Cricetulus griseus: one gene and its partner. The protein of the gene in region 1 interacts with the protein of each later gene in a pairwise test. Links are inferred from orthologs where the notes say so. Each region holds a gene or a part of one and is shown on either strand. Other genes may lie near its edges. The genes, in order: Irf9 and Irf1.

What was found.
Region 2: the proteins of Irf9 (region 1) and Irf1 interact in a two-hybrid assay, tested with the Homo sapiens proteins (2 studies listed by BioGRID and IntAct). The link is inferred for Cricetulus griseus from reciprocal best matches to the Homo sapiens genes IRF9 and IRF1.

What each region holds. Positions count from the first base shown.
Region 1 is NW_023276807.1:210,814,135-210,829,731, forward strand, and holds the end of Irf9 (interferon regulatory factor 9), read left to right. Parts: intron 1-881; coding exon 882-1,223; intron 1,224-2,126; coding exon 2,127-2,242; intron 2,243-2,370; coding exon 2,371-2,481; 3' UTR 2,482-2,967; downstream 2,968-15,597. Other genes in the region: meiotic recombination protein REC8 homolog, read left to right, coding at 11,107-11,162, 11,248-11,316, 11,400-11,542, 11,623-11,698, 12,000-12,120, 13,622-13,709, 14,760-14,839, 14,999-15,134 and 2 more.
Region 2 is NC_048600.1:67,920,353-67,935,514, forward strand, and holds Irf1 (interferon regulatory factor 1), read left to right. Parts: upstream 1-1,602; 5' UTR 1,603-1,815; intron 1,816-2,840; 5' UTR 2,841-2,845; coding exon 2,846-2,932; intron 2,933-3,167; exon of another isoform or gene 3,168-3,186; intron 3,187-4,443; coding exon 4,444-4,543; intron 4,544-5,245; coding exon 5,246-5,422; intron 5,423-5,508; coding exon 5,509-5,558; intron 5,559-5,654; coding exon 5,655-5,784; intron 5,785-6,127; coding exon 6,128-6,250; intron 6,251-6,718; coding exon 6,719-6,768; intron 6,769-7,634; coding exon 7,635-7,770; intron 7,771-8,015; coding exon 8,016-8,143; 3' UTR 8,144-8,961; downstream 8,962-15,162. UniProt on the Homo sapiens protein: Transcriptional regulator which displays a remarkable functional diversity in the regulation of cellular responses.

The DNA of each region.
Region 1 (15,597 bases):
GCAGGGTTTCTCTTGTAGCCCTTGCTGTCCTGGAACTTAATCTGTAGACCTGGCTGGTCTTGAACTCAGAGATCTGTCTGCCCTGCCTCCCAGATTAAAGGCGTGCACTACCACCACCACCTAGTGAGATGTTTATTTCTTTATTGTCCAGAAAAATCCAATCTCTGAGACCTCCTTGTAAACTGCCTTTGCCAAAACCCTGTGTTGGGAGGGAGGTGTGCACATGAAAAAGGAGACACCTTTTCTTTTCAATTTTTTTTTTTTTTTTTTTGGTTTTTCGAGACAGGGTTTCTCTGTGTAGCTTTGGAGCCTATCCTGGCACTCTCTCTCTGGAGACCAGGCTGGCCTCGAACTCACAGAGATCCGGCTGCCTCTGCCTCCGCCTCCTGAGTGCTGGGATTAAAGGTGTATGCCACCACTGTCTGGCTCCTTCCTTCCTTTTTTTTTTTTTTTTTTTTTTTTTTAAAGACACTCTCATATTGTCCAGTCTGACCTCAGACTCACTGTGTAGCTCAAGATGACCTGGATTCCTGATCCTCCTGAGTATCCGGCTTACAGATGTGTGGCACCATGCCAAGGGTTGATTGTAGTGCTGGGTGTTGAACCCAGGGCTTTGTGCATGCTAGGCAACCATTCTTTCAGCTGAGCCAAACACCTTCTCTAACTCAGAAGGAACTGCCTCAGCCATGCAACCTTGTCTTTCCCAGTGCTTGCTTGGATTCCTGCCCTGAGTTCAGTTTTCCCATTAACAAAATGGGGACACTGGAGCACTTCATTTTTTCTGAAACTTTGTGCTGGTCAGGTGCAACATGAGAAGAGGGCCCCTTATTAGCCTTTAGGCTCCTCCCACACTTAATACAGCTGGGCTTTTCTGTTCCCAGACTACTCGCTGCTGCTCACCTTCATCTACAGTGGGCGTGTGGTGGGCGAGATCACGGTGGAGAGCCTAGACTGTCGCCTTGTGGCTGACCCCTCAGTCTCGGAGAGCAACATGCCACAAGTGGTGTTTCCCACACCTGATCCACTGGAGCCTATCCAGCACCTACTGAGTCAGCTTGAGAGAGGCATCCTGGTGGCCAGCAATTCCAGAGGCCTTTTTGTTCAGCGCCTTTGTCCCATCCCCGTCTCCTGGAATGCACCTGAGGCCCCACCTGGGCCTGGTCCGCATCTGCTGCCCAGCAATAAGTGTGTGGAGCTCTTCAGTACCACCTGCTTCTCTAGAGGTAAAGGCTTCCTAGCTGGGCACCTCAGCACCCACCCCTGTCTCTTTGTCCCCTGGGCCTGACCTGGGTTCCCCCCCTCCCCTGTCCGGCAGCAGATTGTCACCACAGCCTGTGCGTGGCACCCCTGCACTCGTGTGCCGCACATTATGTGGAGCTGTATGTTCAGCTCCGGCAGCATTTCCCTCGCCAAGGTCATGGTAGATGAGGTCCCGCTGGGTTCAGACAAGAGTGGCACATCTTGGGGGAGCATTGTACAAACAGGTTAACACGGATTTTAGCCTGCGACCATCTCCACACACTGCAACGCACAGCTCCGTTTGTGGAAGAGCCAAGACATCTTGCACACACTTGCCCCGCCCCACCATCTCTACCATGCTGTGGGGATCTCCTAAGACCGTCCCTTCCTTCTGGCCACCCATGAAATTCTAGTTGAGCCTCTGATTGTGAGCATAGGTAGGAACATAGAGGATAGCGTGGTGTCCCTGGGCTCCTAGTGCCCTAGTGTTGGGAGTATAAGCAAACAACAAAGGGTTGGTAGCCAGGGCTGCTGCTTCTGAGGCCTCCAAGGTACCCTTCCTACTGCACCGTGAAGACCACTTAATTCTTAGCATCTCTAAGCCACAGCTTTGCCCTGACCTTGGTGTCCTTGTTACCACATTCTCATATCTGCATCTGACTGCCCAGACAGCTCCACCTTACTCAAGGCCCTCTATATTGTTACTTTTTGTTTCTGAGTCAACTCTCACATTGCTCCTGGTGGCCTGGAACTCCCTAAGTAGACCAGGCTACTTCAAATCCATGGCAGCTCTCCTGCCCCAGCCTGAGTGCTGGGGTTACAGGCATATACCACCATGCCTGGCCTTCCCTCTTCTTTCTTCCAATCCTTGATCCTCTTTCTTTTAGACTTGGCCCAGTACTGCCAGGGCCAGGGCCCCCCACCCAAGTTCCAGGCAACCCTGCATTTCTGGGAGGAGAGGCCTGGCTCCAGCCACACCCAGGAGAATCTTATCACAGTGCAGGTGAGCTCCACTCCAAAACCAGGTCAACGTTGATTGGTTGCAGAACTGTTCCTAAGGGGGAGGAGCTACGGGGTAGTGACTGTGCCTGCAGTGCTCATGAGGCCTGTTCCTCATTTCTTCCCATACAGATGGAGCAGGCCTTTGCCCGGCATTTACTGGAGAAAATTCCAGAGGAGCAGAAAGCCGCTTTGTTTCTGTTACAGAACCCAGAACATCCATCTGCTGCTTTATCACTCTGATCCTCAGGTCTCTGTTGAAATAGTCTTGTTCTCCACACCATTGGTCTACCTGCTTTGTGTTGACTATCGATGTGGATTATACAACATGGCTGGTAGTGCAGGATCTTTTTATCCTTAAAATAACTATTTTGAGAGCCAGGCTTGTTGGTGAATATTTGTAATCTCAGCACTTGGGAGACAGACTGAATGACTTTTATTTACCTTTTTTTTAGATATACCCTCTTTCATCTCTAAGGAACTGGAAAGTTCTAAATGGTGTGATATCAGAGGGAATTTTGCTCTCTTTCCAACCCCTAACTCTAAATCTAAGCACTTTATGTTTCCTTCCTAGAATTAAATAAAATTTAACTTGGGGGGGAGGGTAGTACACATCTGTAACCTTGGCACCTGTGGGGCAGAGGCATGAAGAGTGAGAATTCAAGGCCAACCTTGGTAGCATATTATGACCCTGTCTCCAACAAATAAATAAAAGCTTTTTAAAAGAGAGATGAGTATGTGCTATGTTGGGAGAGGTAGCAGGGTTACAGGGGAATTATAAAGATATAGACTTGGGTATTTAGTACCTGGGCTCTCTTCCTGATGACCTCTCCAAGTTCCTTTGCTTTCCTCTGCCAGCAGGACTAGCTGGAATGCTGTCTGGCTCTGGAACCTAGTCTCAAACACATGGTGATTCTCCTCTCCCAGCCTCTTAAGTGCTGGGGTTACAGACACAGACCACCATCCATGACTGCCTTCTCTCTTTTCCAATCCTTGACCCTTCTATTTTGTTTTTCAGACTTGGCCTAGTACTTCCAAAGCTAGGGGTCCCCATCCAAGGTTCAGACAACCAAACTGGGGAAAGGATTGGGAGTCAATCTCTAAGAGAGGCCTACAGTCAAACGGCACTATAGCCACTGGTGGCTTAAATGAGAATAGGTTCTGTGTGCTCATACATTGGAACCCCCTTCCCCCGACCCCAGGGCAGGGTTTCTTTGTGTAGCCTTAGCTGTCCTGGAATTCTCTGTAGACCAGGCTAGCCTCAAACAGAGATCCACTTGCCTCCTGAGTGCTGGGATTAAAGGCATGTGCCACAGCCACCACTGCTGCCTGGCATACATACATGGAATACTTGGTCCTCAATGGAACTGTTTGGGAATGGTTAGGAGATGTGATCTTGTTGGACAAGTTGTGTCACTGGCAATGGGCTTTAAGGTTTCAAACATGCCGGGTGTTGGTGGCGCACGCCTTTAACCTCAGCACTTGGGAAGCAGAGGCAGATAGATCTCTGTGAGTTTGAGGCCAGCCTGGTCTACAGAGAGTTCCAGGATAGCCAGAGCTGTTACACAGAGAAATCCTGTCTCAAAAAACCAAAACCAAAAAAAAAAAAAAAAAAAAAAAGCCATATTCTAGCACCCTGGTTCACTGAAACTTGAGAGCTTATAATTGACTGACACTCTTTTTTACTCTGTGTCATTTTGTCACTAAATGGGGATGCTTTTCCTTTGCTACCATCACTTCCACCAGCTGGTTCCATCACCATCTAACTGGCAGCACCTTCAGCGTCCACATTCCTGCACGGAACACCAGATTTACTTTCCTTCTTGCCGTGGCACAAGCCTCCAGAGGCTTGCTCACATGATCAAGTCTAGATGCTTAAGTCCTTACAGGACCTTGCCAGACTCCTTGGTGGTTTTCTGCCTCCTTGAACCTTTTTCCTTCCCTTCAATCTGTCATCCCTCAGGGAAGCCAAGAGTAAACAGGGGAGGTTCTGCTTTTGTGCCTTCAGTTTTCTGAAATCCCCCTTGAACCTTTGTACCAGTTCTAAAGTACATCTTTGTCTTGGACCCTACATCTAACTCCAAATGGCAATGGTCACTCTTTCTTCAAACAAACCTTTGAGGGGATGGATATGGCAGTGCACTTTTAATCCCAACACTCAGAAAGCAGAAGCAGGCAGATCTCTGAATTCTGGGCCAGCCTGAGGTATATACAAACTAATACCCTGTCTCAAAAATTTTTAAGAGGTGGTGGTGGTGGTGAGATTGCTTAGTGGGTAAAGTCATCTGCTGCCAATCCTGGAGATTTGAGAGTTTGATGCCTGGATCTACATGGTAGGAGAGAACCAACTCCCACAAGTCATCCTCAGACCTCTCCACATGCAGTTTGGTACATGCGCATCCCTGCAGCACTTAGAAAATAAAATATAAATGTGTGTGTGTGTGTGTGTGTGTGTGTGTGTGTGTGTGTGTAACTTGATTCCTGTAGAAAATACAACATGTTCACACATGCTGCAGTGGGAACAGAAGCTAGGTTTAAAATGTCAGTCTGGAGCACTGAGGAGGATGAATAAAGGGGTGTGAAATGACCAAGCTAAACAGATAAAAGGGGGAGTGGGTTCTAGGACGATGATTACAGTCCAACTGCTCCACAAAGCCCTGAGGATTATGTATAAGACACTTAATATTCTTGCTTCTAAGGCAGCTAATTCTAATGTGTAATTGCAAGTAAGTTAGATGTCATCTAACAAGCTTCTGCTTAGGAGACTACCTCAGACCACTCCAAAGACAAGGCACTAAATACAGGGTAACCAAGAAAGACTGAAACTGTATCTTGGTGGCTGTGATAGAGGTAATACTGCCATAGCAAAGCTACAAGCTGATCCTGTCAGTGTGACAACAGAGTGCTTCGTATAGTTTAACAACACTTGAGACACTAGGTTAGGGGTAGTAAGACTAGCCAAATGACTAACAGCAATGGACAGTCATGGTCAGGCACTAACCAAATGTCAGACAGAGAGGTGCTCCAAACACTCCTAACTGGGTATGCAGCCCATTATCATCTCCCTATTAGGCCAAGCAGACACACAGAGCATGTGGGTTCTCCATTGCCCTGCCCAGTCATAGCCCTAAGAGCTAGCCAACCTCAAGCAATTACCGAAATTACCTCAACCTTTGTCCAGTTTCTGCTACAATCCTATAGAAGTCCTAGAGAAAGAAATTCAGTGGCTTTCCCTCCCTTAGCATCCCTGCCCATTCTTGGGAGTACCTCTCACTTCTCATTTTCTCACTTTTCTGTAACTTTTTTTTCAAGATGTATTTATTTATTATGCATAGTGTTCTGCCTGCATGTATGTCTGCAGGCCTAAAGAAAGCAGCACCAGATCTCATTGTAGATGGCTGTGAGCCACCATGTGGTTCCTGGGAATTGAAAGCACCAGATCTCATTGTAGATGGCTGTGAGCCACCATGTGGTTCCTGGGAATTGAACTCAGGACCTCCGGAAGAGCAGCCAGTGCTCTTAACCACTGAGCCATCTCTCCAGCCCCAACTTTTCTGTAACTTTTAAATTATTTTAATTTTATTATGTGTATGGGTGTTTTTGCTTGCATATGTCTCTGTACCACAAGAGTGCCTGTGGTCTATGGAGTCCAGAAGAGGACCTCAGATCATTTGGAACTGGAATGGATGGTTATGAGCTGTCGTGTGGGTCCTCTAGAAGAGCAACACAAGCTCTTAGCCTCTGAGTCATCTCTCCATCACCACTTTTCTATAATTCTAATAAAGCTTGCTTCTGCTTTGCCTTCTCCCAAAAGACTCTGCCACTGACTCAGGTTGACCTTTGGTGATCTTTGAGTATCTGACACATTAGAAGCTTGAGACAAGAAAGGTCCTATTGTTCTTAAAACCCCTGCCTCAGTTCCACCTAATATTACCACAAATCTCTTGGTTCTTTTCACATTGTCTCTGTTCCCACTCTTGTCTGCTTTTAGCCTATTCTCGACACAGTACAGAGAGACTCTCAACACAAATCTCGTCATTTCATTCTTGTGCTTAAAACCCTCCTTGACTCCCAACTCCCTCAAGGTAACAGCCAAGATCCTGAAAATGACCTCCAACATTAAACAGTCCCCGCCTCCTTCCCAACTAACTCATCCTTTGCCCTTCCCATGCTACTTTGCTCCAGGATCCTTGAACCCGCAAAACATGTTTGTTCTTTTTTTCTAAAATACTATTCCTCGATGACTGGTGGCGCTCACCTTTAATCTTAGCACTGGAGGCAGAGGCAAGTGGATCTCTGTGAATCTGAGGCCAGCATGGTCTACAGAGCGAGTTCCAAGTCAGCAAGGGCTACAAAGAGAGACACTGTCTCAAAAATCCAAATAATATGATAATATAATCTTACTGCATGCAGTCACATGACCCGTCTCTTCAAAATACCACCTCTTTAGAGCTCCCCTGGGTATCCCATACAAGTTGCCCACATCTTCTGGTCCTTCTGTTCAATTATGTGTGTGTGTGCGCGTGTGTGTGTGCACGCGAGCACGTGTGTGAGAGCTTGCGCCTTAGGAGTTGGATCCCCCTTGAGCTGGAGTTACAGATAGTTGATAACTGTGAGCTGCCTGATATGGGTGCTGGGAATCAAACTTGAATTCTCTGGAGAGCTGTGCATGTTCTTAACCACTAAAGTTAAAACTTAATAGTGCTGCCATCTCACACACTTCTATTTCCTTATCATCTCTCCTTCCCTACCCCCGAGAGCAGGGAACAGTGTTCCTTGTTTATCCCCAGTGGCATGTGAGAGGCACCTTGTAAGTGCCTGTTGGACTGAATGGATGAATGGTAGCCAAATTACTCTATGTACCATGTGTATCTCTTGAACCTAAAAGTAGATATGGAGCACCTTCTGGTCAGGGCTTGCACTTCGTCTTTGAGCCCCGACGTGACAAAGTGACACTTCAACGATTGAAATAACCAGTGTAGTCAAGCACAGTAGGCTAGGGATTGGGAATATTAGAACTCAAAACAGCAAAATTCCAAGGCAGGCTCTGAGGAGCTGTGTGGTTTATGAGAGAGCATGTGGGCTGTGCTTCTCCCCACTTGTAAAGTTGGGACTCATGCGAGGTCCCTCAATCCCTGTGCTGTTGTCCTCTATGTAAGGGGATGTGTGCTCTCGTGCATGCTCCTGAGTATTTGCCGTGTACCACATTCCTGCAAGAGCCGGAGAAAGTTGAAAAGAACAGGGGTGGGTGGTGGTGTATGCCTTTAATCCCAGCACTTGGGAGGCAGAAACTGATGTGTCCCTGTGTGAGTTCAAGTCCTGGTCTAAAGAGTGAGTTCCAGAACAGCCAAAGCTACATAGTGAGACCCTGTCTCAAAACAAAACAAAACAAAACAAAACAAAACAAAACAAACAAAAAAACCCAACCCCACAAACACTGGCAGAGATATGTTTCAGTTGTTAAGAGGACTGACTGCTTTACAGAGGGTGCAGATTTGATTTCTTTCTTTTTTTTTTTTTTTAAAGATTTATTTATTACATATACAGCGTTCTGCCTACGTGCCAGAAGAGGGCACCATATGTCATTATAGATGGTCATGAGCCACCATGTAGTTGCTGGGAATTGAACTCAGGTCCTCTGGAAGAGCATTCAGTGCTCTTAACCTCTGAGCCATCTCTCCAGCCCCCAGATTTGATTTCTATAAGTCATCTCACCATCTGAACTCCAGTTGGAGAGGATTTGATGTCTTTTCTGATTTTCTTTAGTTTTTTTTTTTTTTTTTCCAAGACAGGGTTTCTCTGTGTAACTAGCTGTCCTGGAGCTCACAGAGATCAGCCTGCCTCCCGAGTCCTGGGATTAAAAGCATGTACCACCACGCCCTGCTTTTTTTTTTGGTTGATTATTTATTTATTTATTTATTTATTTATTTATTTATTTATTTTTGAAGCAAGGCCTCAGCTAGCCCAAGCTGAACTCGCTGTATGGGCCAGGCTGGCCTTGAACTCTAACATCTTCCTGCCTCTGAGTCCCCTCAACGCTGGGATTATACATATGAGTCACTATACTCTGCCTCTCAGTCTCTTTGGGTTTTGACCTTGTATAGTTGTAAATATAGGTCAATTGAACAATCACTTGACAAATACTGTACTTACATAACCAGAAGCCAGGCATACACTGGAAAAAATGTGACCCTGCTCCCAAGAGCTCCAGACGGAAGGGGACAGAGAGAGAGAGAGGGTCAGTTCAACTACCACAGAACTAAGTTTAATATCAGAGCCTACCCTGGAGCCAAGGCAGGAAAGAATAGTCTAAGGCAAAGAAATGGTTTTATAAAGGCAGAGACACCAGAGCAAAAGATATTTATAATTTTGGCACCATCGTAATCATATGCTTAATTTATATAAAAAATTATTTGAGCCGGGCAGTGGTGGCGTACGCCTTTAATCCCAGCACTCAGGAGGCAGAGGCAGGCGGATCTCTGTGAGTTCAAGACCAGCCTGGTCTACAAGAGCTAATTCCAGGACAGCCTCCAAAGCCACAGAGAAACCCTGTGTCAAAAAACCAAAAAAAAAAAAAAAAAGAGTTATTGAGGGGCTGACAATATGACTCATAGGTAAAGGCACCTGCCACCAAGCATAGGGACTTAGGTTCAGTCTACCACAGACCTCACATGGTAGAAGGATAAAACTGACTCCAGCAAGTTGTCCTTCGAGCACGCGCGTGCGCGTACACACACACACACACACACACACACACACACACACACACACACACGCACGCACGCACGCACGCCCACACACACTATGAAAAAAAGTTAAATTTCTGGTTTAAAAAAAAAAGCATCACCCAGCAGTGATGGTGCATGCCTTTAATCCCAGCACTTGGGAGGCAGAGGCAGGAAGATCTCTGTGAGTTTGAGGTCAGCCTGGTTTACAGAGCTAGTTCCAGGACAGCCAGAGCTACACAGAGAAACCCTAACCCGAAGGGGGCGGGGAGAAAGGTGTCTTGAGCCAGTGTAGCACTCAGGAGACAGAGGCAGGCTGATCTCTGAGGTAAAGGCCAGCCTGGTCTACAGAGAGAGTTCCAGGACAGCCAGGGCTATACAGAAAAAAACCTGTCTCGGAAAAAAAAATAAATAAAAAGAGCATGTACTTTCTATTAATTCTGAGGTTTTTGAGCTAGGTCTCATGATGACCCAGGCTGGTATTAAACTCACTGTGAAGTGAGAACTGTCCTTCAACTCCCACCTTTCCTCCCAAGACCTGAGATACATCCACACACCTTCATTTTTGTTTTGCTGTTGTTTTTATTTGCTTGGTTTTGAAACAGAATCTCCCTATGTAGCTCTGGCTAGCCTGGAAGTCATTGTGTAGACCATCATGGCCTCAGACTCAGGACTGGCCTGACTCTGCCAGGATCAAAGGCTGTTTTCTTTCCTTTCCTTTCTGTGGTACTGAGGGTTGAGCCTAGGGCCATGCAGATGCCAGGCAAACTCTCTACTACTGAGCTACATCTCCAGCCCTGTTCCCTTTTTTTTTTTTTTTTTTTTTTTTGACAGGGTCTCACTATCACTTCCTAAATGGCCTGTAGACCCGGCTAATCTCAAACTCATAACCTCTTACTGCTGAGATAAAAGGTATACACTACCACTCCTGGCCTCTGTTTTTGCTTTTTGATTGGAGATAGTGTCTAAATTTCTTTCTTTTTCTTTTTTCTTTTCTTTTCTTTTCTTTTTTTTTTCCCGAGACAGGGTTTCTCTGTAGCTTTGGAGGCTGTCCTGGAACTTGCTCTTGTAGACCAGGGTGGTCTCGAACTCACAGAGATCCTCTGCCTCTGCCTCCCGAGTGCTGGGATTAAAGGCGTGCACCATCACGACTAGTGTCTTAATTTCAAGCGGCAGGTGAAGTTTGTAGTTGCAGCCCCTGTGGCTGTTTTCTTTCTTGTTGGCATGTGGTGATTACAAGGCCACCTCACACTGTGGTTAGCATTTAGTTCAGCACACACCCTTCATGGACACAAAATCAGGTGGAATTGAGGATTAAGAACAGGATTTATGCACAGGCAAGGTATGGTCCCTTGCATCTCTGCAATTATAAGCAGCGCCAGGGCATTTGCCCTTGGCATGACCCCATCTCCTTCTAGTAGACACCCTGCTAGCAAGCTGTCTCCAGGGAGAAACTGGGTTTTCTCCCCGTTTATTGGTCAGCAGAACCCGTTGGAGAAGTCCTTGTTACTACCCGAGAGAACGAAAGCCCATTGGCCAGGACACCTCACAATGCCACAGTAGTGCTCAGCATTCTCGTGATTGGCTCGCGACCCGTCTCCAAGAGCCTATGGCCTGGAACCGGGTTTTGCTGCCTAGCACCAGGAGTCACAGCTCCCCATTGGCTGTCCTGGCTCAAAGCCTTGGAGAGCGTGCTCCTTGTCCCGCTGGAGGGCGACCGGACCTAGAGCAAGTCCCAGAAGCTTGACGATGTCTGTGTGCTTGAGGACGAAGAAGGCCTGTTGACGAGAACTCAGTTTAACCTAAAGACCTGTTATTTTTTTGTCCCTGCCCAGGCTTTCCCTTGGAGCTTCGCATCTCTGGCCAGGACCGCCAATCCTGATGGTAAATTCTGTTTCCTCGAGTGGTATGCAGACCTCGGGGGTGGCAGAATGAAGGGTGCGCAGCACCTGCTTCTCCGTTTGGTTACCTCCTAGTTCCGGTACTAGTAGTTGGTGGTCTTATTAATTGGGCTTTTTGCATCCGCATCCACCATGCTCCCTGTCCAAATTCCTACTCCTCTGCCATGGTGCTGGAAATCTCGTGTCCTAAAGAATTCGGATTGAGAGCCAAACGGGATTGGTGCTGAGCGTGAAACCCAGAGATGTTCTACTATCCTAACGTGCTTCAGCGCCACACAGGCTGCTTCGCCACTATCTGGTGAGCACAGGGCTGATAGCTATGCCAGGAGCCGAGTAGTGGGAATCTTGAGTTTGACAGGCCATACCTGTCCCCACCCTTCCAGGCTGGCAGCAACCCGAGGCAGCCGGTTAGTGAAGCGTGAATACCTGAAAGTGAACGTAGTAAAGACTTGGTAAGACCCAGAAAAGAGGGAGGAGTCTCTGGCTTGGGAGCTTCGATGAGTGCAGCATTGACCAGGGTCCGTTGTTCTCCCAGCGAGGAAATCCTCAATTATGTGCTGGTACGAGTGCAACCTCCGATGCCTGGGCTGCCCCGGCCCCGCTTCTCCCTCTATCTCTCTGCGCAGCTGCAGATCGGTGTGATAAGGGTCTACTCTCAGCAGTGCCAGTACCTTGTGGGTAAGACTGGGAACACTAGAGGTGGGCTAGAGCCGAATGGCTCATGCCTAAGCTGATTATTGTACCTTCCTTGCCCACAGAAGACATCCAGCATATCCTAGAACGTTTGCACCGGGCCCAGATGCGGATTCGCATTGATATGGAGGAGGCTGACCTGTGAGTCCCTGGAACCCGGGCCAATCAGACTTGCTTCAGCCTCTTTTTTTCTTTTTTATAATGCATTCGTGTGTGTGTGTGTGTGTGTGAGAGAGAGAGAGAGAGAGAGAGAGAGAAAGAGAGAGAGAGAGAGAGAGAGAGAGAAAGAACACAGTCAGTCTGAGAAGGTGGGTTCTCATCATTACATAGGTTCAGATTTAGGGATCAAATTCAGGACTTTGCATTTGGTGGCTGCACCTTTACCTGCTGAGCTATCTCACCCACTCTCAGCCTTGTCCCTGACATCCCAGTTCTCTCCCAGACCTAGCTTGCTTCTTCCCAACTGTCTGGCCATGATGGAGACACTGGAAGATGCCCCAGAACCCTTTTTTGGGACGATGTCTGTGGATCCAGGACTTCCCAGCCCTTTTGATATTCCTCAGGTAGGGCTCATTTCCCTAGAGCACCTCAGAAATCACAAGATGGCAGTATAGACCGAAGGGTTAGTTGGTGTCCTTGTGTTAATCTGAGGTTTGGGGATGGGACACTGCCATAGGTTCCCATAAGAGGCCATGGAGCAAGGGGATTAGTGGGTGCAAACAGGGAAAGCCCGAGATCTTCCTCACTTAGGGCCAACCTGATGGAATGGCTTCCTCATGAGAGGCATGCTTCCCCCATCTCCACCGTTCCCACCACTGAGACCCTAGTCTAGATGTTGGCTTTTCTTCCCCATCTTCTCCCATCATCCCCACAGCTTAGATATCACTCCATTTCCCATCTTCTCATTCATGCAAGTTGGTCCTGAATGCAAATAGTATCTGCACCTCTAGGGATCTTGGAGCCTGGATTTGGTGGAGTCCATTCCATTCTTTTCTCTAGATCTCCTTAGCTACCAGCACCAGCCCCCATTTTCTATGTCCCAGAAATGCCACATTTACTTCTTTACTTGTGGAAATACATCTCTCAACCTGATAAGAGCGGCTCTTCATTCTCTGCTGGCCAGGGCCTACTTATCCTTACAGACTTAGTCGACTGTCACCCTTTCCATGAAATCATTAACCCACTCGAAGCCAATAGAAATGAGGTTTGGAATGTGAGCACTTTACCAAGGCCACTCTGTCTTCTTCGTTGGCTCCACTGGAATCACACTCACTCACACTTGTCCCCACTACCATCTACCCAAGAACCTTTTCTAGTCGTTTCTGTCCACAACACAGTTGATGTGTAGATGGATGTTGCACTGCTTTTTGCACAAATTCACAAAGCTAGTTTGGAGGCGAGGTTAGGACAGGGACAGGAGGAAGAGTAGGTTGGTGGCTTTATGGCATATGGGTGTCAAATGGCACAGAGATTTGGTTTAGGGCTGAAGGCGTAGCACAGTGATAGAGTATTTGCTTAACATGCACTAGCCCGCAATTTGATTCCCAGTTCTGAAAATACACACGCTTGTGTGTGTGCGTGCCCGCAAACGCGCACGTACACACACACACACACCTTGGATATGGTGATGTAAGCTACTTCAAGAACTCATGAGTTTCAAGGATGAGTACTGTCAAAAGTTGAAGCAGGGGTGGGTGGGGCTGGGAGTAGAGCCATGGCTCAGTGGTTACCAGTGTATCCAGCTCTTGCAGAGGACAGGATGTCACTGCCAGCTTTCACAGTCATCTCTCACTCCAGCTCCAGGGATCCAACATCAAACTCTGCCTTCTGGCCTCCAAGGGTGCATGCATACACACACAGATAAATAAAATCTTTTTAAAAAGTGTTTAGGTCAACCTGAGCTACACAGTGAGACCTGTATCAAAAATGAATAAATAAGAAAGCAAAAATTCTAAAACAAGAAATACAGAGACGGCCAGATTGGTGTCCACTGAATGTTTTGAAAGTAAGGACATAGAGGAGTGATGCTAAGACCTGTCTTTTGTTCCCAATTTCTTCCCAAAGATTCGACACCTTTTAGAGGCTGTGACTCCAGAGAAAATTGGTAAGGAGACCCCCCCTCCTGAAGTCACTGCAGAGCCCAGGGAGCCAAGTCAGCAGGGAGGGCTGTTCTGATGAGAGGCTCAGGAACCCAAGAGCTCAATCAATGACTCTCTTTTTTACCCGAGACAGGGTTTCTCTGTGGCTTTGGGGGCTGTCCTGGAACTAGCTCTTGTAGACCACAATCAATGACTCTTAAAAGCCAGGCTGGGTGAGGCTGGGTGACACATCTGTAATCCCATTTCCTTGGGAGCCTGATGTGGGGAAACTCCAAGTTAACACCTGCCTGGGTTTAGATACTGAGTTCAAGGCCAGCCTAGACTGCTTAAAGAAACCATTTCAACATTTCCTTTTTCATTTATTTATTTGTTTATTTTTTTCAAGACAGGGTTTCTCTGTGTAACAGCCCTGGGTGTCCTTGAACTCGCCCTGTAGACCAGGCTAGCCTCAAACTCATAGAGATCCACCTGCCTCTGCCTCCCAAGTGCTGGGGTTAAAGGCGTGCGCCACCAACACCCGGTTAACATTTAAAAAAAAAAAAAAGGATAAAAAACAAAACAAAACAGGTGGACACCTATAATCCCAGCACTCAGGAAGTAGAGGCAGTACTGAATGCTCATACAGAGGACCCAGGTTCAGTTCCCAGCACCCATATACATTGGCTTACAACTACCTACAACTGTCCCTCCAGAGAAATCTGACACACTCGCAGGAATGTACCCACATATAGGCATACTCACATATACATAATTAACAATTCAGACAAATCTTTAAAAAGAGTCCAAATGAGGTCAGAATTACTATCTTCATTTTAAGGATAAGGAAAGTAAGGCTCACGATGGTTAAGAAATGAACTCGGAGGCCGGGTGTGGTGATTGTACACCTTTAAACTCAGCAGTGGCAAAGGCAGGCAAGGTCTCTTATTGGAGGCCAACCTGGTCTACATAGTGAGCCGTGTCTCAACAAACAAACAAAAAATGAAATGCACTTGGGGTATTTGCTGCTGACTAGCCTGGGTCTGGTTCTTGGTCTCCAAAATCCATGTTTTCGCCCCAACAACTTCAAAAGAAGTAGGGCTGCTATCATCTTCCTAATCCTCCAGACAGGACCTTAGCCACTGTTCATTCTCCTGAGGCCATCACCCTACAGGAGGCAGAGCCCATACGCATGCTGCGGATTGAGGTGAGTTTCCCCTTAAACGCGGGATTACAGTCCAGCCTCACCACACCCCTGTAGTTCTGCCTTTCTCTGTTTTCATTTTCCCACATTCTGTCCCGTTAGTACCCACTGGGTTTCCTTGGGCTCAGTCTCAAAAAGTCTACTCTGTTCCTCTCTCCATAGGGAGAGCAGGATCTCCCAGAGGTCAGCCGAGGTGATTTGGACCTGCTGATTGCGGAGGAAGATGATGCCATATTGCTGGAGGAACGTCAGCGAGGCAGGCTTCTCCAGCGTCGGAGAGCTTCTCCAGCACTGGATGGTCAGCTCTCCGCACAGCCAACATGAGAATGGACAGGGCCTTGTTCTTCTGTCTCCTAAATGTTCTGATCCTCTCTCTGCAGAATCCAAGGAAGAGCCCAGGGCCATGGAGGGTGATGGTGTGGTCCCTTCACTCTCACCTCCAGCTCCAGCTCCAGCTCCAGCACAGTAAGGGCAGGAATCCCTCTACCAGGTAAGGGGTCATTGCTAGGAAGGTTTCTTTATCTGCCTGTTTCCTTCAGGGTTGAAGGGATAAGAGAACCACTTCCAAGCCAGGTCTTCGCTCCCGAGGTACAGAAGTTGACAGGCTGGGAGCCTGGGGCCTTACTCACTGGTAAGTGTCCATCACTTGGTGCTTTCTCGGGAACAGCTGCACACTTACAGAGACAAATGTCCTTACCCCACCTTCTGAGGGAGACACTGGTAGCTGCAAGAATGAAGAGGCTAGCTGGGTGGTGGCGGCA
Region 2 (15,162 bases), on another chromosome or scaffold:
AAGTTCCTCTCCCCAATCTCATTTTGAGTTTTCCAGTGGCTGTGTCAGGTTGTCTCAATATATCAAGCATCCATCCTGCTCAGAAAGCAGGTGTCAGGACTCTGAGTCAGAGTTCAGAAGGTCTCAGTCTCTGCAGCAATTCTCCCTCTTATTTGCCACTTCAAATATCCCAAACCTCACCTCCCCATTCTTTCTAGAGTCTCAGTATCTTCCTCCAAGGTCCTCCTGCCATCTTGATTCTTGTAGCTCCTGAACCTTCTCCATGAGCCAGCGAAATGATTGACAGGTACAATCATTCACCAATGTATGTATTACAGCTTGCAACACTCCAGTTGGGTGCTACCCTAGAGGGACAGCTAGGACAAAGAAAGTGACACAGGAGAATGACACCATAGAGGATTGATTTATTTGTGAGTCAGAAGCCTTGAGGAAGTAAAGGAAGAAGCCTAAGGGGTCAGAGTTCTGGATGGAACATGTACACACCAGCCCAGCTGCTAGAACACACTGGCAAGGTTTACGTGTGAGCACCAGTTAACCCACACTGCCTGTGCCAACCCCTTGGGACCTGGGTCCCCGTTTCTTTTATTAGATGCAATGCCTTGGCCACAATTTCTCTTTGCTGCCTAGAACTTCTCCAGATCTAGGCTTTGGGAACTCAGAAATGACTTCAATACTGTCAGGGAGGAACTCTCTCTCCCAACGGCTAGGGTGAGGTTGTAGAGCTGAGGCAAGAGTCCTAGAAGGAACCACAGCCACTTCTGAATTCCCTCCACTCCCGTGGTCTCAAGTAGTCCCAAGGATACAAGAGAAGAGGGTCACCTTGGTCACTGCTAGAACCTCGTGGGGTACAGAAAATCACATCAGCATCGTGTGCCGAGGTAGAGCACACACATCATCTCTCCCCATCTCTCAGGATACGGGGCTCTCCCATCACTGCAGACTAGCAAGGAGCTATTGCCATTTGTGGTTAAGGAAATTAAGATTCCTTGCGTCCTTCGACAGCTGTGCCTGCAGCATCCAGCATCCAGGCTGGATGTTCCTACTTACAAGTAGCTCCACATAGCACCTGCAGCAGGCTTGGCCTTCTACCTCAATTTCCCAGAGCAGCCAAGCGACGGACCGTTAACAGAGGTGTCACCTAAGGCAGTATAGGGACCGAATCCCTCCCTTCTTGACACCTCATTACCAGACTGATTTTCAGGGTGATTCAGTCCCGAGGTCCCTTCTGGAGAGGGAAGTAGGTGTCCTGGAAACCTAGGAGTTAGAGGTCCGGGTGGAGGAGAGGGGGAAGACGGTAACAGGAGCCAGCAAGCTGGGAGCATGCAGAATGAGGGGAAGAGCCTCGCTTTCCAAGACAGGCGAGGGGAGCGGGGGTGGAGTGGAGCGCGGGGCGGGCCCGCGGGAGCCCCGGGGCGGCGGCGCGGGCCCGAGGGGGTGGGGAGCACAGCCGCCTTGTACTTCCCCTTCGCTGCTTAGCTCTACAACAGCCTGATTTCCCCGAAATGATGAGGCGGCACCGGCCAATGGGCGCGCGCAAGCGCCCCGGAGGGGGCGTGGCCGAATGAGGGCCGGGGAATCCCGCTAAGTGTTTGGTTTTCTCCGCGGCGCCGCGGACTCGCCAGTGCGCGCTACTCCTTCGTCGAGGCAGGACGTGCTCTTAGACTGAGTCGAGCCGAACCGACCGAGACGAACCAAGGTCAGCCGTAGCCAGCGGCCACCAGCATCCCGGGCATCCTTCCCTCTGTGCGCGCATCGCGTACCTATACCGCAACCCTCGCTGTCGGGCACCCTATCTGGATCGCTCCTGTTGCAAAGGTGAGCCCTTCGGAGTTGCGCGGGTACCGACGGGCGGCGTGGAACAAAAGGCGCGCGGGACACCAGGAAGTGGGAGCTAGGGACACCCTGGGCCGGGGTGGCGCGCGGGCCCGGGAGGGCGCTGCGAGCGATCGGGCGGGAGGCGGGCCGCGACGTGCGCCGCCCCCTGGCTGTGCTCGGTTGTCTGCGTGCGCGGGGCCGCTGCGGGGCGTCTCGGTGGCCCGGAGCGGAGCGTCCGTTGCGCGCATCGGCGAGCAGTGCTGGGGGGGGGGGGGGTTGTCGGGCGTCAGCTCGCGCGCACTTTTGGCTGTCGTAGCTTGGCGCCTGGGTCCCAGATTTAGGGGCCCGCGGTGCTAGGTGGCAGAGGTTGGCTTGCTGCCCTGAATGGCTAGACCCGGCCGTGAACTACAGGGGTTTCGGGAGGAGGTGCCACAGGTGTTGCTTGCGCCACTTCTCTTTGCAGCAGGGGAAACCAGGCCGGAAGGGGTTGCGCCCCAGCCTATGCATTGTGGGCACCGGCTGTCAGAGGGGGCATAGACAGGGTTGGGGAGGGTTGGGGGAAGTGCCCGGGATGGAGAGTGACTTGCTTGGCCAGTCTGGAAGGTGCAGAGCTGGTGGTGACAACAAGCAAAAGTAGTCCCTTCCTTCCCCCAAAGATTGCATTTTGAGAGAAAAGTCCTGGCATTGAAATGCCTGCGTATTTTGGCTCTTTTTGCACATAAATCCTGAAACCATCCAGACTTGCTTGCTTGTCTCCTCTGAGACTGACTGGGAGAGGGTGAGAAAGGGGGCAAAAAGGTGGTTTTGCCCATGATGCTGGAGAGATTTAGAGAGCAGTTTCAGTCTATTTATTGCAGGGTTGCCTTCTCTGTGCCTATAGGACCTGGTACCTGGCTGGCTGGGGGAGGGTAATGACCTGGGTGTGAGGGCAGGGGAAGGTAATTGAGTGGCCTTGGGTGGAGCAGGGCAGTGCCCAGGATTGTTTAATAGACTTCAAACACAGACCTTCTGTCTTCTCCCTCCAGCCACCATGCCTATCACTCGGATGCGAATGAGACCCTGGCTAGAGATGCAGATTAATTCCAATCAAATTCCAGGGCTGATCTGGATTAATAAAGTGAGTGTTACTCTGGGTATTTCTGGCGCTGTTTTCACCCATGTCCTCTTGGGGACCAAAGTTTCATTAGTGGAAATGAGAGAGCAGGAAGATGTATTTCCCAGTGGGTGCTGCATGCCAGGACTTTCCAGGTCTGACTTTATGCCTTCTGCTTCTTCTTCCTTCCTGAAGCTGGGGCGAGCCTATCCTCCTAGAGGCACAGTTCTCAGCACCAAGACTCCCAGCATCTGCAGAGCAAGTGAGAGAAACTTGCTGTACGTGTAACATCCTACATGGCTCCAGTTGTATAGACAGATGATGCTGGGCAGGAGCATGACTGGCTCTGCAGGGGACCCAGTTACTGTGGCCCAAGAAGCCATAACTGGTACACATGGCAGCCTAGACTACGCAGATTTAGCAACAATACTAGCATTGGTAACAATAATTACTGTGGTTGGGTACCCTTCTAAATATGTTACCAATGTTGTGTATTTTAGTCTTCATAGTCATCCCATGAGATGGGTCTCAGATAAGGAAACTGGGGTAGATTACAGGATCACACACAAAGTATGAAAGCCAAGACTGAACTCCAACAAACTTGACTGAATGTCTATATTGTTGGTGATGGCTCAGCAGGCAAAGCCTGACAGCCTGACTTTGATCCCCACATCCCTTGTGATTGGAGAGACAACTGCTCTAGGTTGTCCTCTGACCTCCACAAAAGTGCCCTACCCCTGCAAATAACCCTGACACTTACACACAGATTTAAAAAGAAAACAAAAAACCCCCAAAATCTGTATCATTGTGGCTGTTGTCTCCATACATACTCTTTTTTTTTTATTATTAAAAAACAAACTCCCCCTGTGGTGCACGCCTTTAGTCCCAGCACTTGGAAGGCAGAGGCAGTCAGATCTCTGTGAGTTCGAGGTCTGCCTGGTCTATAAGAACAGCCACCAAAGCCACAGAGAAACCCTGTCTTGGGAAAACAAACAAACAAACAACAAACTCCCACCCCAATACACATAAGAAAACTTTTCTCTCTCCTTGAGGTATGTCTTATTTAAGAGGACATAGGCCAGCATTACACGGCTGTCAGCATCCATGTCTGGCCTCGGGCTCCCTGGTGACATGACCCAGGACCCTGTATAGGAGTCAGTGGCTCCAGTTGTCTTGAGTAGACACTAATGCAGGAAGCTCTTCTGCTCCCATTGTTCTGAGCCAGAGAAAAGCATAAGAGACCTGCCAAGCCAGGACTGAGAGAGGGTGCCCCTTTGGGCTCTTAGCACACCTGCAGCAGGTGGGTAGGGCGGGGGTGTCATTGCCCAGCTTCTTGTGCTGTGGCTTATCAGAACCCAGACCCCCCCTGACAGGTGCAGAATGGCCTGTTTAAGGCAGTCAGGATGGGTCAGTCCAAGCCAGATGTTGGGGTGAAAAGGGGAAGTCAGTCTTTTCCCATACTTGGGGGCTGGGTATACTCAGCCACAAATCCTGTGGTCTCCAAGCTGACACAGTCCTATGTGTGCACTATTCAGGAAGAGATGATCTTCCAGATCCCATGGAAGCATGCTGCCAAGCACGGCTGGGACATCAACAAGGATGCCTGTCTGTTCCGGAGCTGGGCCATTCACACAGGTGTGCAGGGTGGTGGGGCAGAGAAAAGAGCAGGGGAGGCTATTACCATGGAGGCTTTGGGTAGCTTTGAGCTCCTCGACACAGCATGCAGAATTATTGGAGCAGGGGTTGAGGTGTCCCTGTGTTTCCCTAGGATGGGATCCATTGTTTTAGCAAGTTCCCAGAGGATTTATAAAGGTGAAAATCTTAGAAAGCATGCCTTCAGGGAGTCTGTAGCTAGAATACAGTTGTTCCTGGCAAAGAGAGTTGTGAGTCAGGCTACCAAAGGAAACTTTCATCTTCCTTTCTCAAGGTACGGACTAGGGGCCTTGGCCCAAGCCTCATCTGGGTGGTGGCCTCCTTTCGGCTTTTAGGAATCAGGTTCTTGGTCCAATTAGGACCTGTTAGTAAATGTCCTTGTTGCCCACTCTGTACACATGTGTTCTTTGGAAACGTCAGATAAGCCTCTGTATTAGCCGTCTCTGGCTGCTGATAGTGTGAGCAGGGAGACTGTTATAACCGAAGACAGTGAGCACATTTTGGAATAAAGGCATTCAACTGAGCCCTTCACATGCCTGCTGGATGTCTGAGCCAGCCTTGGGCATGAGCCCCCCTGGGGGGGGTTATTGCCAGTGGTTTTTGCTAGTTTCACTAGTATGGGTGTCTGGGGTACACCTAGTCCAGGGAGCAGCTGATGGATGCATTTACTCTCCCTTTCTGTAGGCCGATACAAAATAGGGGAAAAAGAACCAGATCCCAAGACGTGGAAGGCAAATTTCCGTTGTGCCATGAACTCCCTGCCAGACATTGAGGAAGTGAAGGACCAGAGCAGGAACAAGGGCAGCTCGGCTGTACGAGTGTACCGGATGCTGCCACCCCTCACTAAGAACCAGAGGAAAGGTAACCAAGGGCACTGGGTCCTCAGAAGGAAGGGAAGAAGGGTGGAAGGAAGATCGGCTAGGGCTCATGGCCTGTTTGCCCCACAGAGAGAAAATCCAAGTCCAGCCGAGACACTAAGAGCAAGGCCAAGAGGAAGGTGAGTGTGGCTCTGTGTGGCCCAGCCTTTGGTCACCTTAGGTAGGGTGGGCAGTGAAGAGCACTGCAACAGGCCTAAGCTGTCTTCTCTCCACAGCTATACGGAGATGCTAGTCCTGACACCTCCGATGGACTCAGCAGCTCCACTCTGCCTGATGACCACAGCAGCTATACCACTCAGAGCTACCTGGGTCAGGACTTGGACTTGGAGCAGGACCTTACCCCAGGTGAGGATGCCAATCTGGCAAGAGAGCTCATAGGTTGGGTCCAAGAGGCACTGTGGTAGCAGAGAGTAGCCTGTTAGAGCAGGTTGCAGGGTGGAGGTGCCGATTTATGGCAGATTAAGAAAGCATGCCATCAGCCAGGTGGTGGTGGAGTATGCCTTTAATCTCAGCACTTGGGTGGCATAGGCAGGCAGATCTCTATGAGTTCAAGGCCAGCCTGGTCTCCAGAGCCAGTGCCAGAATAGGCTCCAAAGCTACACAGAGAAACCCTGTCTCGAAAAACCAGAAGAAAAAAAAAAAGAAAGCAAGCATGCCATCCTGACCTGTGCTTTGTACCCTCCTGTAGCTCTGTCACCATGTGTTGTCAGCAGCAGTCTCCCTGAGTGGCACATGCAGATGGACATTGTGCCAGACAGTACCAACGATCTGTATAACTTGCAGGTGTCGCCCATGCCCTCCACCTCTGAAGGTTTGTACCCTTTGGGCCTGGCCTGCCTCTGTTTGTGTTTGGCTCTGCAGGGGAAGTAGATGCTTAGAAATGTGCGTGCCATTGAGCTGATGGAGCTGGAACTGGGAACTGCTTAACCCAGCCCCCATAGCATGAAACAAGCCCATGGGACGCAAGACAGTTTAGAGCCTTTGTGTGCTCCAGGCCAGGAGGGAGGCAATCAGGCCACGGCCACATCTTGGTCAAAGGTGGCTAGTGCTCCTGGCTTCTCTGCCCTCAGTTGTCTGAGGTGAGGAAGGAAGTAAAGGGGTGGGATACAGCCTTGCTCCATGGTTGGGGAGGGTGAGTCATCAGGCCAGTGTCCTGTTCTGGAACCTCCAGGGCAGGCAAGATGCTGGTTGGAAGGCTGGGTGGGGGGCTTGGGGTTGGAGCTGGTGGGGTGGAACTTCAGGGCAAACATGTATAGCTAACCTCTGCCCTTCCTCACAGCTGCTACAGATGAGGATGAGGAAGGGAAGTTACCCGAGGACATCGTGAAGGTAAATCCTTTTCCATGCCGCATCTGTGAAGGGAGAGCAAGCTAGGGAAAGCTTCCAAATCAGTGTGGGCAGGTGCTGTTGTCACTTGGCTGCATAGCCCCACAAGTACCACCCCCCATCCCCACCCCCCCTACCTCCCACCCCCCCCACCTCCCACCCCCGTGTGTTGGGGGGACTGCTGCCTGGGCAGGTGAGATGCCTAGTCTCTAGCAGGCCATCCTGAAGCAAGCCTCAGGGTCCCAGACAGCTCTGAGTCAGCCCCCATCAGCACTGTGTCCTCCGCCCCAGCTTGCCCAGCCCATTCCCAGTTTGGGAAATGCACATCAGGTTTCAATAATCAGCTTTTGGGATCTCTACTAAGATGACTAAAAAAAAAAAATCTTTTTTTCCTTAGCAAGTTCTTTTGCACTTTCATTTTTTTCAGCTGCAGTTTTCAAAGTGGCTATAAAAGTTTTTGAGGTAGTTTTGTCCTGATTCTGGCCTGTGAGCGCAGAACATTGAGATGCGGGTCTAGTCCCTTGTCTTCAGCCTTCCTGGCTTGTTATGCTAACTTTTACTTTAAGCTGCCTTACCAGTTGTTATGTCCTCCCCGAGTTGAGGGAAGTCATGCAGATTCTGTGCCAGAGGGTGGGGATAGGAAGAGAGAAGGACAGTGACACAGCAGAGGCCTTACAGGGCCCAGGTAGTTCGATGTTCCCCACACTCTTGGGCCTTGTCTTGACAGTTCTGCATGCTGACACCCATTGGAGAATATACAAATGCCCAAGGGTGTGATTCTGCTTGGGAAGGGTTAGCTCATTGAGGGCAGGGCCCACAGGGTAAGTCTGCACTGGCAGACGGCTGATGGCTTCATGTTTTCTCCTCAGCTCTTTGAGCAGTCTGAGTGGCAGCCGACAAACGTGGATGGCAAGGGATACTTGCTCAATGAACCAGGAGCCCAACCCTCTTCTGTCTATGGAGAGTTTAGCTGCAAGGAGGAACCAGAGATTGACAGCCCTGGAGGTAAGAGGTCTCCAGGTCCTTATGGATTCTGGGAGAAGAGCGAAGTTTATGGGAACTGGGACATGATAGGAGGCAGAGTCAGATAAAGATAAAAGATCTCTTTTAAACTGGATCAGCAGGCACAGCAGTGAGCACTGTTCCTGTGCTGAGGACGAGCTGTGCTTGCTGCTTGCTGTGGACGACTGTGTGAGGTTCTCGTACCTTTTCTTAAATAACTTTTTTTTTTTTTTTTGGTCATCTTCTAGGGGACTTTGGAATGGGCATACAACATGTCTTCACGGATCTGAAGAATATGGACTCCATCTGGATGGACACCTTGCTGCCCCCCACTGTCAGGCTATCCTCTATTCAAGCTATTCCTTGTGGACCATAGTTTGGGTCCCTGACCCGTTCTTGCTCTTCTGAATGAGCAAGGTCTGGTGTCATGGTGGCTGTAATACAGAAAAGCTAGACTGCTGTGGGTCCCTTGACATGGCAAAGCATAGCCCCACTGCCAAGCGGGAAGAGACCACCCTCCTTGGGTCAGTGGACTCTCAGGGCTTGGAATGCCAGGATCTGAGTTTTTCTTGTGAGGTGAAGCTGGCCCTGACTCCTGGGAAGATGGAGTTGGGGTTCTGAGGTTGCTGTGAGGTGGGAGACAGGGACAGGAGTCATCCTCTAGCTCTTTAAAGCCTTGCTGCCTGGAGAGGGTCTTGTCACTGGGCTGGCTGTGCACTGGGAGACAATTGCACTAAGTGAGTCCTATTCCCAAAGAATTGCTGCCCTTCCCAGCCGAGCCCTGGGATGGTTTCAAAGCCAGTGAAATGTGAAGGAAAAAAATGGAGTCCTGTGAGGCTGGGCTCCCTTAGCCTCAGAGGAGCTCTGCCTCGCTACCTGCTCTCCAGCTGTAGGGCTCAGGAAAAAAAAAATGGCACTTTCTCTGTGGACCTTGCCACATAACTGATCAGAGGTGTACACTAACATTTCTCCCCAAGTCTTGGCCTTCTCGTTTATTTATACAGTGCCTTGCCTGGTGCCCACTGTCTCCTCAGGCCTTGGCAGTCCTCAGCAGGCCCAGGGAGGGGGTTGTGAGCGATTTGGCGTGACTTTGACTATTGGAAACGCCACCTAACTACTAAATTGTGTTTGATCACATATGGATCTGTGTAAATATGTATATTTGTCTTTTTATAAAGTTAATTGTTTACAAGGCGTGTGGCTTTTTACTTAGAAGTCGTAATCTGTTTTACTTTTTATGGAAACATTCTGGTGGGAATCTTTGGCGTTCTGCCTGAGCTTTGGCTGAGCATTGACATGCATCTGTCATGAATCTTTCCAGTTATGGTCAAGAAGATGGCAGGAGGAGGGAACCGCATGCCATGTTACAGGGACATGCTCATTTATATTCATTTGTTGTATTTATTTTTGGTTTTTTGAGACAGGGTCTCACTAAGTAATCCTGGCTGTCCTGGAATTCACTATGCATACATAGGCTAGCCTCAAACTCACAGAGATCTGCTTGCCTCTGCCTTTGAGTTTGATTGTCTTAATCCTATTTTATTTGTTTAGTGGAGGTCAGAGGCCAACTCCTAATTAAGTTGGTTCTTTAACTTTGTGGAACCTGGGATCAAATCAGGTCATCAGGCTTGGGAGTTGATTTTGAACTCTTGGGGCCTGGTTATCTGTTAGTCTGTGACAAATTCAGAGGAACCCAGAGCCTATCTGTTCTGCTGAACAAACAGGTGCCATTCCAAACAATAAACGATTGGTATGACACTGACAATGGAATAGACAACAGTGCAAGCAACATCCCCAAGGCCTGCTGCTGCCCTAGGCCTCACTTGATGGAAATGATCTCTACTCTGTACTAATGCTAGTCAAGCCTGGGGGCTAAGTACCTGAAATGTGACCAATGATATATGCAGGAACTTGACTTTTAATTTCAGTGACTATCTGACCACTGACTGTGGTTTGGACTCATTTGTACTAAATAACAGGTGCAGCTTGGGGGCAGATCTGAATGAGGGAAGGGAAGATGAGGACAAAACTGTAAAATGGGCAAAGCTCAGTCTGTGGTTACCCTGAAGACTGAACATGCTGTGTGCCTGGCAGATGGGCTGTCACTAGGTGGCTGTCCTCACTAGGTGGGGGTGGGGTCCTGGATTACAGGCCTTGCCCATCTGGAGACCCAGTTGGGTTTTTCAAGGATAGCTTTACTGGGGACTAAGATGGAGATGGATAGCCTTCTTAGTCCTTCCAGGGCCCAGTCCTTACCAAGAACAAGATTTTAGGGGGTTAGCCTCCTGTGACATCTACAGAGTTTTCTGGTGGGTGGCTCTTAAGCAATGGCAGGTAGGAGTGGTGTGAAGCCAGCTAGAGGGGATTGTGAAAGAATGGAGGGGAGGAATGTAGTCTACCACAGACAGCAAGGCCCACTTTTGACTTTTCTGTTCCCTCCTTCAACTTGATCCCTGATGGAGAGTATATAGTAATGACAGAAGTTCCAAACAACAGAAGGACACTTAAGCTCTTATAAGCAAAGTTCATCATCAGTACATCAGAAAAGCAAAGGCATTATGCTATCAGCTTCCAACCTCCAGAACCAAGATAGAGTCCAAATCTCCTTTGGTTAGGACCATCCATCCCCTGGGGATGTCCAAGGGGGACCCCAAAACTCTACTTTTCCATCACAGGGTAGCTAGGTCATAGGTCCTTGGACTTCCAAGATGAAGAATTGCCCTACTGTGGATTTCAGCCCTTGCCTGGAAGACAAACCCTGTAAAATATGACTATTCAATTAAAGATGGCAGCTGGTGCCTGGAATGGGGTAATATGAGTATAAATTGAGCCAAATTTAGGCCTAAGATAATTCTAAGGACTTAACAGTGCTTCTAAGAGCCACACCTAAGAGTTTCTGTCTACTAATGGACACTCCGGGCTGAGCAACTGGGAAGTCACTGAAAGATGCATTTCTTTGGGGTTGTGGTGATGTCATAGTTATCAAGGACCACTTAACAGTGGGATTAACTGTCAACGAGGTAGGGTTCAGAGGAGAACCACTTTTCCAAGCTCAGAGGTGAGGTAGGTCTAGAGTCTATGTTGATTTTTAGATGGCATAGCTGAGTCCTGCCCTCCTTGTCATGGTGGCCCAAGTTCACAGATGTTTGAGGGCATTTCTAGTGAGTCACAGTGGTCTCCTTGCCTTGTCACTTTAATCAAGGTAGCTTGTTCATTCACTTTGAAGTAGGAAGAATGCCAGAGACTATGGTGTAACAGCTACTGTCCACCTCTCAGTATACAGTTTGCAAAGTACTGGGACAACTCTGGCTCAGAGGATGAGGGATGGATCCCTCTCAAAGCCAGCCAAGGAGAGCTGAGATCCTAGGGAAAGTTTGGTAGAAGCTTCAATCCTTTTCTCTGGAAGCAAAGCACTCCTCTTGGTGGGGCGGAGTCCTGCCTGTGGTGTGAGATCCAAAAACCTACTGCACAGGGGAGTGCAGTGTGTGTGTGTGTGTGTGTGTGTGTGTGTGTGTTTGTTTGTGTACATCCTTTAGACAGTCCTGTTAGAACACCTAGCTGGAATCTTTTGCTCTCATCAGATGTTATTTCTTAATTCCACACAACTTGCCCTCCATGTGGAGATGTATGAAGTGGTCAGACCCCTGCCAGCTGTCCAAGGGGCAGGAAGGAGGCCTGGGCAGAATGAGCTGGTACATGCCTTTTCCAAGAACTCCCTTGTGGGCCCAAGTCTGAGGCCTCACTGGCTGGCTTTACAGTTTCCTCAGCTCCAAGCAGCTCCCAAGAGACTCACTGCTGCTGTTCTTAAGGAAGTTGCAGAATCCTCTGCTTCTGGTGGCTGGGTGGTGGGGGTCTGTGGTGCCTACACTCAGTTTCCTTTCAACAGGGGAGTTGCTGGAACCACTGGGGCAAATTCGTGAAGACAAAGTGAAAATTAAGAGAGGCGGGTATCCACCTGCCACCCATTCACCAGGAAGAAGATATCAGCATGTAGGAGTCCGAGGGACCACAGCATCTATCCAGATATGACAACACAGACACACTGCTCAAGTACACTAGTATACTTGCACCCACCTCCCTGCAACACCATCCCTTTGTTCACAGACCAGAAATCAATGTTCAACAGGCCAACAGGCTTGCCAAGGTGACTTAGCTATGGAGGTTGGCTTCCAACCCACATCTATCCATGTCCAGAACCCAGACTGTTTCCACACTGTCAAGGTTCCTGAAAGAAGGAAACTGAGAACAGCTGGGAAGGAGTAGGGTGTTAGGACCCTATGCCAAGAAGGCATTTGGGACTGTGGAGCTGTCACTGTCCCCTCCTGATGCCCTAGAGTCTAGGGCCTAGAGAATGACTGGGGCTCTAGTGGGGTAGGGTTTGACTTGGCCTTCAAGAGAAGCAATGCTTTACCTACCCTGGGAGGCCACCTGATGTTTCAAGGGCTAGGGCCCCAGGGGCCGAGAAACAGTCAAGGCTTGTAACTTGATTGGCCCCAGAGCAGCTGGCAACTTGGCCATAGACCACATTTATTCCCGAGGACTCTGGCCAGCCAGGGCTTAGATCCCCAGGGTTCAAAGTGCACTTGTCAGCCATGTTTTCATCTGAGCAGGGTGACCAGTTTTGCACTAAACCAAACCCACTATTGGGTTCGGAGCAGCTTCTCTCCCAGCTCTGTATCCGGAGCTGGACCAGCAGCTCTGGTGAGTTTTATTTTTCCTCTCTGGCTGGGCCTTGTCTCTTTCTGCTCTCCTTTCCTTAAAAGTCCCTTGAATATGAACAGGGCAGTGGTGGCACACACCTTTAATCCCAGCACTTGGGTGGCAGAGGCAGGGGGATCTCAGTGAGTTCAAGGCCAGCCTGATCTACGGAGTGAGTTCCAGGACACAGAAAAACCCCCGTCTCAAAAAACAAAACAAAAATCCCTTGAATATGGATGGGGCTGACTGACTCTGCTACTATGTTCTCCTTGTAGACAGACAGGAGCACAAACTCTTCCACAGCAGTTATAAACACTGAGCTACACTTCTGCTCATGGAGAAGGGATGTACCAAGACTTCCCTCAGGAGAAGGCCCAGGGTAGGGTGTAAGCATGTGAAAGGCCTCTCTGAAAAAGCTGACTTCGTGGGCTCAGGGAGTTATGTAGATGTGGAGGTGGGTTCCATAGAGAAGACAACAATTAATTAGGTCAGAACCATGATTACTTGTTCAAAACTGTGACCAAGTTCCACACCTGGGAGGCAGAAGCAAACAGATCTTTGTGAGTTTGAGGCCTGCCAACATGCCAGCCTGTGAGGGTTACATAGACCCTGTCTCAAACAAACAAAATGAAACAACAACAAAAACCCACTATGAACAACGCAAGGAGTTCTGTCATGTTGGTCATGTCAGAATAATGTTAGACTGGGGTAGGAGCTGCAGATGCTTGTGGGAGGTGGTGGGTCACTGTCATAGCTGGGGACCCAGCTGGAATGCCAAGGGGAACCACATGTCTGCAGACAGAGCAAAGGCTGGAGTCTAGCAGTCCTGTGCAGTGTGAGGAGGGCAGGAAGGAAGGGTAGAAGGAGTGTCCAGTTCCATGGCCATTCATCAACACTCCTCTGTTGCAGAGCAGGGAACAGCCGGACACAGATGCTGAGCCCAGTAGACCCTGTGCTCCCAGCTTGCAGTCAGCCTGAGGTCACTTGGGAGGACCTCATTTTCAGTCTCTGTCCATTCTAAGAAGGTGTAGTGTGGACCCTCATGGTCAAAGTGTCACCTTATAGGTGCTAGTCCCTTCCTGTGTGCTTAAGTGGTACATGGGACTGGAGGCTCCCCAGGGACAAGGGCTCTCTACATTCTCACAGTGCTCAGCCCCAACTTAAACTTAAGTGCATATGTTCTGGTAGCCTGGGACACTTGTCCATGGCACCTGCTCTGCTGAGCTCACCTGGACTGTGAGGTTCAGGAGAGTAGGCTATGGTAACTAGGCCTGCCTCTGCAACAGAATCCTGACCAACCAGCAGCCAAGGCTAAAGGCCCAGGGACAAGGGCTACTTTGTGTATGACACAATCAGCCCGTGTTCCCAGCAGGACTGAAGTTGGAAAGCTGAGTTATTCATGATGCTTACTTTATTAAAAACATACACAAGCAGCCGGGCGTTGGTGGTGCAAGCCTTTAGTCCTAGCACTCGGGAGGCAGAGGCAGGTGGATCTCTGTGAGTTTGAGGCCAGCCTGGTCCCCAGAGCGAGTGCCAGGATAGGCTCCAAAGCTACACAGAGAAACCCTGTCTCGAAAAACCAAAAAAAAAAAAAAAAAAAAACCATACACAAGCACTTGGTAGGATGGCCCAGTGGGTAAAGGTACTTTGCTGCCAAGTCTAATGACCTAAATCTGGTCTCCAGAACTCATGTTGTAGAAAAAAAACTGACTCCTACAGGTTGTCCTCCAGCCTCTACACATGTGCTGTGGCATGTGCAGTAAACAAATTAACATTAACACACACACACACACACACACACACACACACACACACACACACACACTTACTTTTCTAATGAAAGAAAGGGTGTGAATTTGGGTGGGTGGGGAAGGTGGGAGGATCTGTGAGGAGCTGAGGGAGGGAAAACAGAATATATTGTATGAAAAAAGCGATTTTTAATATACAAGAAGAACATGATTTAATTGTACAAAGAGCAAGAGGTATGAGGAAATAAAAAACATTTATTAAAGACATCTGCAGAACACCACCCAGAAGTGACCAGGGTGTGACATTTTTAGAAGCTCTGATGCAAACACATTGTGTCACTCATGCATGCAGCTGAGAATGCTGTGCCATGCAGGCACAGCTAGAAGATACCCATCCCTCAATCTTTCTAGCATCCATGAATCCAAAGGGCTGGTGTGCAGGAAGCAGAGGTGACTGCGGCTGTCCGGGAGGTGCAAAGGAGATGAGGCTCCAAGGATATCAGTTTGTACAGAAATGAAGAGAGAGGGTTCCCAGGATTCGAGACTTCTGGTGTTAAGGGAAGAGGTCTCAGGAATAGCAGGACCCAGCTGCTTATCCTACTTGAGGGATATAGGCCTTGTCTATACTTTCTTGCTTGTGCTTTCCGGGCAGGCTCTCCTGCTAGTGGGCAAAGGACTGACTAGGATTTCCCCTCCAATCTCTCAGCCTAAGGCTCAGAGGACAGAGAGGAAGGAGTAAGGGCAGACAGGCTGTCATCCTGAGGAAGGGCTCAGGGGAATTCTGGCTAACACGGAAGTCAGGGATACACAATGGGACCTCTAATACCTGCCTGCTGCTCCATGAAGCCAGAGTTGCCCTCAGATTCTGCAAGTCTCAGGCAAGGCTCTGGCCTCAAAATCTGAAAAGTGTAGGCATTTGGTAGAACGGTCCAGCCTTTTGGTCTTCCAC